Neodiprion lecontei: one gene and its partner. The protein of the gene in region 1 interacts with the protein of each later gene in a pairwise test. Links are inferred from orthologs where the notes say so. Each region holds a gene or a part of one and is shown in the gene's direction. Other genes may lie near its edges. The genes, in order: translationally-controlled tumor protein homolog and GTP-binding protein Rheb homolog.

The links.
Region 2: the proteins of translationally-controlled tumor protein homolog (region 1) and GTP-binding protein Rheb homolog interact in binary tests that used the Drosophila melanogaster proteins (3 or more experiments, as listed by UniProt). The link is inferred for Neodiprion lecontei from reciprocal best matches to the Drosophila melanogaster genes Tctp and Rheb.

What each region holds. Positions count from the first base shown.
Region 1 is NC_060261.1:34,472,934-34,476,543, forward strand, and holds translationally-controlled tumor protein homolog, read left to right. Parts: upstream 1-1,002; 5' UTR 1,003-1,130; coding exon 1,131-1,158; intron 1,159-1,481; coding exon 1,482-1,552; intron 1,553-1,642; coding exon 1,643-1,830; intron 1,831-1,940; coding exon 1,941-2,172; 3' UTR 2,173-2,212; exon of another isoform or gene 2,213-2,489; 3' UTR 2,490-2,961; downstream 2,962-3,610. UniProt on the Drosophila melanogaster protein: Involved in calcium binding and microtubule stabilization.
Region 2 is NC_060265.1:31,580,351-31,584,288, forward strand, and holds the start of GTP-binding protein Rheb homolog, read left to right. Parts: upstream 1-1,450; 5' UTR 1,451-2,143; coding exon 2,144-2,192; intron 2,193-2,360; coding exon 2,361-2,432; intron 2,433-2,600; coding exon 2,601-2,808; intron 2,809-3,757; coding exon 3,758-3,887; intron 3,888-3,938. UniProt on the Drosophila melanogaster protein: Binds GTP and exhibits intrinsic GTPase activity. Activates the protein kinase activity of TORC1, and thereby plays a role in the regulation of apoptosis. Stimulates the phosphorylation of S6K through activation of TORC1 signaling.

The sequences.
Region 1 (3,610 bases):
ATTGACATTTCCAAGTCGCAATCGTCAAGTAGTCTTACATACTAACTTTGTACCGACTCAATCTCAAATTTCCATACCGACACTACTTTCGTTGCTACGCATGTCGCGGGGGTGCGAACCCGTTAGGTAGAGTCGATAGAGCAAAACCCTCTTACGCTCCCAGGCCCACCTGGGCCCACTTACCCGTCGAAAACTGGTCACAAAAATTTACCCAGGGGTAAATTCATCACATCATACATCTGTCTTTATATTCTTCGGTCAACGACTGCGTATAGCGAGGTTATGACGCATGATTGTCAATCACGCAAGGAAAACATAAAACATCCATGCGGTCGCATATTATTATTATTCTTGCAAGAAACAGAGGATCAAGAGACGCAGGAGTGTCTTGACGTCAAGTTATTACAATATCATAAAGATTCTACAAGTCTCGTAACTCTTTATAACTTTAAACTCATAACATATTCTCACTTCCCTAAAATTTAAAATTGTTACGTCGTTAAGTGCGAGTCTTTCACTCGCACTCTCTGGATACGTTCCACACTTCCACACGAGATAGGTGGGTCAGAGTAGGCTTTCACCAAACGCGTGTGCGTTCCACCTATAACTATTGCCTACACGCTCGCGGTCTTTTTATGTTAGTGGAACGAGAATTTTAGCGGTCGCGTTCGAGGGCCTTGCAAGCATAAAGTGGAACGTACTCCCTGTGAGATAGCAAAGGACACGGCTATACTGCGTACAGCGCATGCGCGAGCATGTAGCTATTTCGTTCTGCGGACTTGGCCTTTTTCATGCGGTAAAATGAGCCAAACTTTGCCTGCGAAGTTCGGTCTCCTAGTATTTATTTCGTGGTTTTTGGTTACGGAAAGCGCCAGTGGGCTAGCAGACTTTATACATTTTCAGTCAACGCTATCGACGCTACAGGCCTAAAATTCACCATCCATAGGATTCTGAGATGCCAGTAGACGTCGCTGTGTGCAAATGCGAATAAACCGGATGTTGCGCATTGTCTTGCGCATTATCCGCCCTGTCGTCGATCCATTTTAGCACCGTCCTTTCCGGTTCGCTCTATCGAGTGACTGCGTCTTATTTAGTTTTAGCTGTATACAAATCTTTCTCCATCTTCCACAATGAGGATCTACAAAGATATTTTCACCGGTAATTATATTTCGCTAAACTTATCCTGTTTTTTACAATACGAATTTTCTAAATTTGTAATTCTATACCGGAATTATGAAACGTTTATTATCAACTAAATTTCAAAGTGACATTTCGATAAGCCTCCTTTGTCACATACCAATCTCGGTTAGCTCTAGTAATTCAACCATACGTTCTTATGCTAAAATCATACAAATCACTCAATTATTTCATATTAGTTTGTTTTAAGATTATGGAGAAGATATTTTACACATCTAGATTTCACTTTCTTCCAAGGTAACCTATGAATACATATGTTTCATCGTTTATTTTACGCATTCCAGGTGATGAGATGTTCTCAGATACCTATAAAATAAAACTGGTCGATGACGTCCTCTACGAAGTGTATGGTAGAGTAAGTATATTACCTTCCCAATTACGTCGATTCTTTGACATGTTATTGACGTCCTTACACGTCGCATCTAACATTCACGCCACATTTCAGCTCGTCACACGCAAGGCTGGATCAATCGAAATAGCAGGATTCAACCCGTCAGCTGAAGAAGCTGACGAAGGTACGGATGAAGCTGTTGAATCAGGAGTTGATGTAGTACTGAATCATCGTCTTCAAGAAACTTTTGCCTTCCATGACAAAAAATCCTACACTCTGTACCTCAAGGATTACATGAAGAAGTAAGTGTTGACATATTTTTTTACAGTCAATGCTTTAAACCATGTTTATTCATTCTTTACTTGTCACGTCAATTTAATTGACTAAATTTTTGCACTTCTCTTAATTTCAGACTAGTTGCCAAACTGGAAGAGAAGGCACCAGATCAGGTTGAAATTTTTAAGACCAACATGAACAAAGTGATGAAAGATATTCTCTCAAGATTCAAGGAGCTACAATTTTTCACTGGCGAATCAATGGATATTGATGGAATTGTTGGTCTAATGGAATACCGTGATATCGACGGTGACTCAGTGCCGGTACTGATGTTCTTTAAGCACGGCCTAGATGAAGAGAAATTCTAAATAATTCTTAGATATGAAACAAATTGTGGAAAAAAATTTTGTAAGTTTATACAATATTTCATAAAAATTTGATCAGTTATATACAACAGCTGGTCTTATACATGGAAATTCTCGGTCAACATATGTTATCTGTTAACCGATGCACAAACATGTTATATAAAATTGGTGACTGAATTCCCGTTACAATATTTTTAATTATTGTAGCGTCTACGTAAATCAAACAGAATTTGTCAACGATGTGGTTGCACTCTCGTTTCTGAACTGGTTCAAGTTTTTTTAGTTTAATTCTACATATCTTCTATTTTTATGTGTTACAGATAAGCTGAAGCTAAGACTGCCCACATGGCGACGCCGCTGTGAAATTAAGTTACAAATAACCCTTCCAATTTCTTGTATCAATTGCAGTTTTATTTATCAAAAAGAAACCTAAACAATATTGAACACTATTTGATTGTCTTTCTAAACTGTACATACTCAGATTACTCAGATAAATATTTATCACTTGTCGCATTCAGCTCTTACTTTAAAGACATGACCTCCAACTTGTAAGACTAAACATGATTGTTAGTCTATTTATTTTTTGATTACCACTTCTCTTAACAGATTTAATTTATACACTTGTATTTATTACGGAATGGAAGATGGGGAAAGAAGACGGTAGCACAACACTTCGATCAATAATGCATTGTGAATTATTTACAGCTGTTACATCAATATTAATTATTTTTGTTTCTGAAATAAATTCGATACACCTATGCCTGACGAAATAAACTATTGACGTTTTCATAATCTGGTATTTTGTTCCTTTAAATACCTCAACATCAATTTCAACTTTTATGTATATATTTTTTTCCATTAGCAAAAATTAAAATTAGAAGATGTTTTGATTTCATGGATTATAAATTACACCATAAGCGGTAATGATTGAAACAAGCCAGCAATATTTTGCTCGAAGTGACAATACTTTTCCATCGTCATGGTATGACGTAAAAAAAAAAATAATAAAAATTAGAGGTAGATGAGGTATGTATTTAATTTTTCAGATATACACATAGATATTGATTTAATAAAACTGAAAGTTTCGTAAAAATATTATATTTAGACAAAATTGGAATAGACAGTCGTACTATATCTTCGCGTTACCGTCACAAATTCGACTGAGAATTGTTACAAATCACCATCATCATATTTTTTATAAAGTACACATGAAAATATTAATTTAGTTTACTATATAATAATATGTACAATTATTCTGTGTTAACTGGTCTTCTCCATATCATTCTCTAGTCTTTCATCAATAATATATTACTCTTCCTCTTTACAAAACAGTGATTACTCTGATAATGATTAAATGACATTCTAAAACCTGACACATGTGCTTCTTTGCTATTACTGAAAATATTTTGACGTTTACAAAAGCGTTTATATCTAGGTATAT
Region 2 (3,938 bases), on another chromosome or scaffold:
GAACACAGTCACACAATCGTGTTGATAAGCACAGCACAAACAATTTGTCAAGTTTTTTTCTCAAGGTGATCCTATTAGTGTATACAGAGAATATGTGAAACAAAATTTTGAAATAATCATCGACTTCTTAACTGACCACTACTTTTTTAAATTTGTAAATATCCGATCCTATTCTTTCGTTTAAGAGTTACCCGTCATAGTTCGGAAACAATTATTACACTACTAAAGAAGGGCGCTAACCGTCATAGAAACATTACAAAAGCGAAATTAAATTGCCGAAACTTTGCTAATGTTTTGATCACAGTGTATTCGAGGATGACATGTCAGATGAGTGCTTAATTTATTGCAGTTAGTCACGGGCACCGAACTGTGTGTGTAAATACGTGGTGAAGTTCTCATAGGACTAGAACGGCATGCAAATCATCAGTTCAAATAACGAACTTCAGATTAAAATTGATAGGTATAAGTATCCTGATAATATGAATTAAAACAATCGTATTTAAATTAGCAAACAGCGGCAAGTACTTGAACATTTCTAGTAGAAAGGAGACGGATGAACTGTCGGCGGGATAAGCGAAGTGCGTATGTATGTACAGCAGCAGTCATGGATCTGATACCCCTGGAACAGGCAACCGAAATTGCACCATCAACCTAGCACGCTATTTCCCACCTATGTCTCGATCAGCCCCTTGACACACGTTGCTAAAAGTGGTTCGCAAAATGTCCCTCGATTCTGCCGACAATCTCCACCACTAGTGGCGCTAGTAGTTGTCTGACAATCTTGTGCGTGGTCAGCGAGGGCAGCGAGCGTGTCAGAAGTCTACTAGCGCCACGTAGAGGAACTAAAAAACGGGGACAAAACGCGTACAATTTTTTGGTATACGAGCAGTGGTGAGTGTCAGGGGCAGCTCCCTGCAACTCCGTGTTTCAGAAAACGAGTCTATGTTGTCACCGTTGTCACACTCGGTAGAGAGCGCTAGTACAGTTGCGCGGTTTGCGCGATTACCTTTACGGCCTTTACGGCGTGCAACCCGTACAACTGCACTGCTAGCGCCCTCAATAAGAACTAAAATCATGTGACATACTAGCTTACTCTTTTTACTTTTTCACTCGATCTAGTTGCAGGGGGCTGGTCAGGGGGCTGGTCTCGATCATCATGGGCATCAGAATACCGCAATAGCATTTAGTAGTTTGCTGCCTAGTCATTGGCCAATAGGAATACCAATAAAATGGGTAATTCGCATTCAGGGTGCTCCAGGTAGCGCCTCCCTGCTTTATCAGCGTATTCCTATTGGATAAAACAAAAAACCGCGACAGGAAAATAATTCGGCAGGATTTTGCTGCCCGTGAAAATCCAGCCTAAATTGACGGGTAACTTCGGATGCCTATCCCAAGGGGGACAGATATCGTGACCGTGAGGGTCACAGTAATATTCGTTATTGTCTTCCTTTTCCGGATACTTTGTTTTCGGTCCGAAACGAAGTGCAAGTTCCATCCTATACGAATTATGTAACAATGACTCCTAATCTCTGACGTCGGCTGCATCGCAAGTCATTTGTCACATAATTCTCATAGAATTGAGATTGCATTTTGTTTCGGACTGAAAACAAGTTAGGCGGAAGCCCAAGACATTTAGGAACATTACTTTACAATACGTAATTACGAGGTAGTAAACACAAGGGCAATATCCAAACTCATTCGGGTTCAGTGACGATTCGGTGTACATCCGAAAACACCCGTTTTTACTTGTTGCGATAAAAAAGGACACGAATGCAATTCACGTGCAGTCTACGGACGGTACGACAGATTCTCGAAACACAGCCCACGAATACTGCCATGATGAAATCCCAGTAGTCATTCTGAACATATCTTCAACACGCATCTCACAATCATATTCACTTGTGTTAAACGTGTGGTCCTTACTTTAAGTAGAATGCGTTAATCTCTTCAGTTAATCTTAGTTAATCTTTAAAGACGGAGTTTGTACGGTTCACCACACTCGGTTCATATTGGGATTCTTGCAAATTGAATTTCGCTTCTTGTAGCGTTTGTTAATTATTAAAGTCAAGTACTAGGTTGTCGAAATTTATTCATGAAAGTTTAACCTGTTATGGACCATTGTCAGTTTATAAATTCATGAAGAATGCCATCAAAACAGAGAAAAATAGCCATTATGGGCTATAGATCAGTAGGTGAGTCAAAAATTTTTACATTTTCAATTCATGATCTCATATATTTGATATTCATTCTTGTTAACCAAATAAATACTTAATTTATCTCCACACTCATGCAAGAATATCGCGCGCGTGTTTACTCTCACTTAACTTCTCGGTATTGACTGTACTTCGTCAATTTTTAAGGAAAATCATCCCTCAGCATACAATTCGTCGAAGGGCTATTCGTCGATTCGTACGATCCAACAATTGAAAATAGTAAGAATTCTCAAATGAGTCATTACATAGCTTAATCTTTTATATCGTAAGTTTTACCAGTATGATATTATTCTTAGTAATAATATTGACCTCATTACTACTTTCTAAGACTAAGAATTTCATTGAAATCACTTCGCAACTTTTACATCTACAATGCAAATATTTTAGCATTTACCAAGAGCACTCGTGTCAATAGTCAAGAATATGAAGTGAAATTGGTGGATACAGCTGGTCAAGATGAATATAGCATATTTCCTACCCAGTATTCTATGGACATACATGGATATGTATTGGTCTACAGCATAACTAGTGCAAAAAGTTTCGAAGTTGTACAAATAATCTACGACAAGCTATTGGACATCACAGGCAAAGTGCAGTATGTAACTTTATACCGCAATGTTGTTGATGATTTCGTGACCATGGTTATATAGAATTTATTTATACCGCATCGATATTCTTCTTTCATCACCTGAAAACCTGAATCATTATCTTTTCTGTAATGCAATATTTTACATTCCTCGATCAATTTCATCGGTTTTTAGTAGATGGATGAATATTATGGATATCCTCAAATTCATCTTACATCTCTATTACTCGTCAATGCTTCCTTTGTGATTAATGAAAATTTTTGGAGTTTACTCCTTGAGAAACGATTCGAGTTATAAGGCCCGGTACGGAAATTTTATGAGGAGTAAAATCAAGTCTAACACGAAAACTTGAGGTGTTACATAGACAGAGACAAGCATATATATCTGTGGGATTGAACGTGCAAAAGAATGAGATGGAATACATTATACAGCGTATCCTATACTCGGGGTCTCCTCTTTGTGCGATGCTTCGTAGTCTCACTGTATAGTTCACTACCTCTGGTCTGAGAGTTGAATGTGTGCGTATGTTTGTACGTGTGTGTTATGTGCCTGCGTATTACGAAGTTCTGCCGCAACTTGTATACTGCTGCCGAGTACAGGGTATGCATGCTTTAGAATAAATACATATAGTAGCATTTATTGTATCGATACAACGTACACAAACAGCAACCTAACCATCAACTTTTAATGTTTTGATTTTAAAGTTTTTTTTTACTTCTATGCATTGATACGTGTATTTTTATATACTAAGCTTTTATTGAAGTAATGTAAATAATCCGAATGATTACAGATATATGTTTGTTTCTCTTATCATTTTGGAAGATGCGTTCATTTACCTTCTTTTTCTATTCGATATATATCATAATTATCGTTTCTAAGGAATAAACTCCAGTCGTGCGTCGGAGTTGACACACACACTTTTTTTTTTCCAAATACAAATGAATTATCATGTTGCAGCGTGCCGATCGTTTTGGTTGGTAATAAAACTGATTTACACATGGACCGAATGATATCAACGGAGCAGGGGAAGCGTTTAGCAGAGACATGGCATGCCGCCTTTTTAGAGACAAGTGCGAAACAGAATGAGGTAGCTCGATATCCATTAATTTCTTAGCTAATAAATGTAGGGCATAAACGA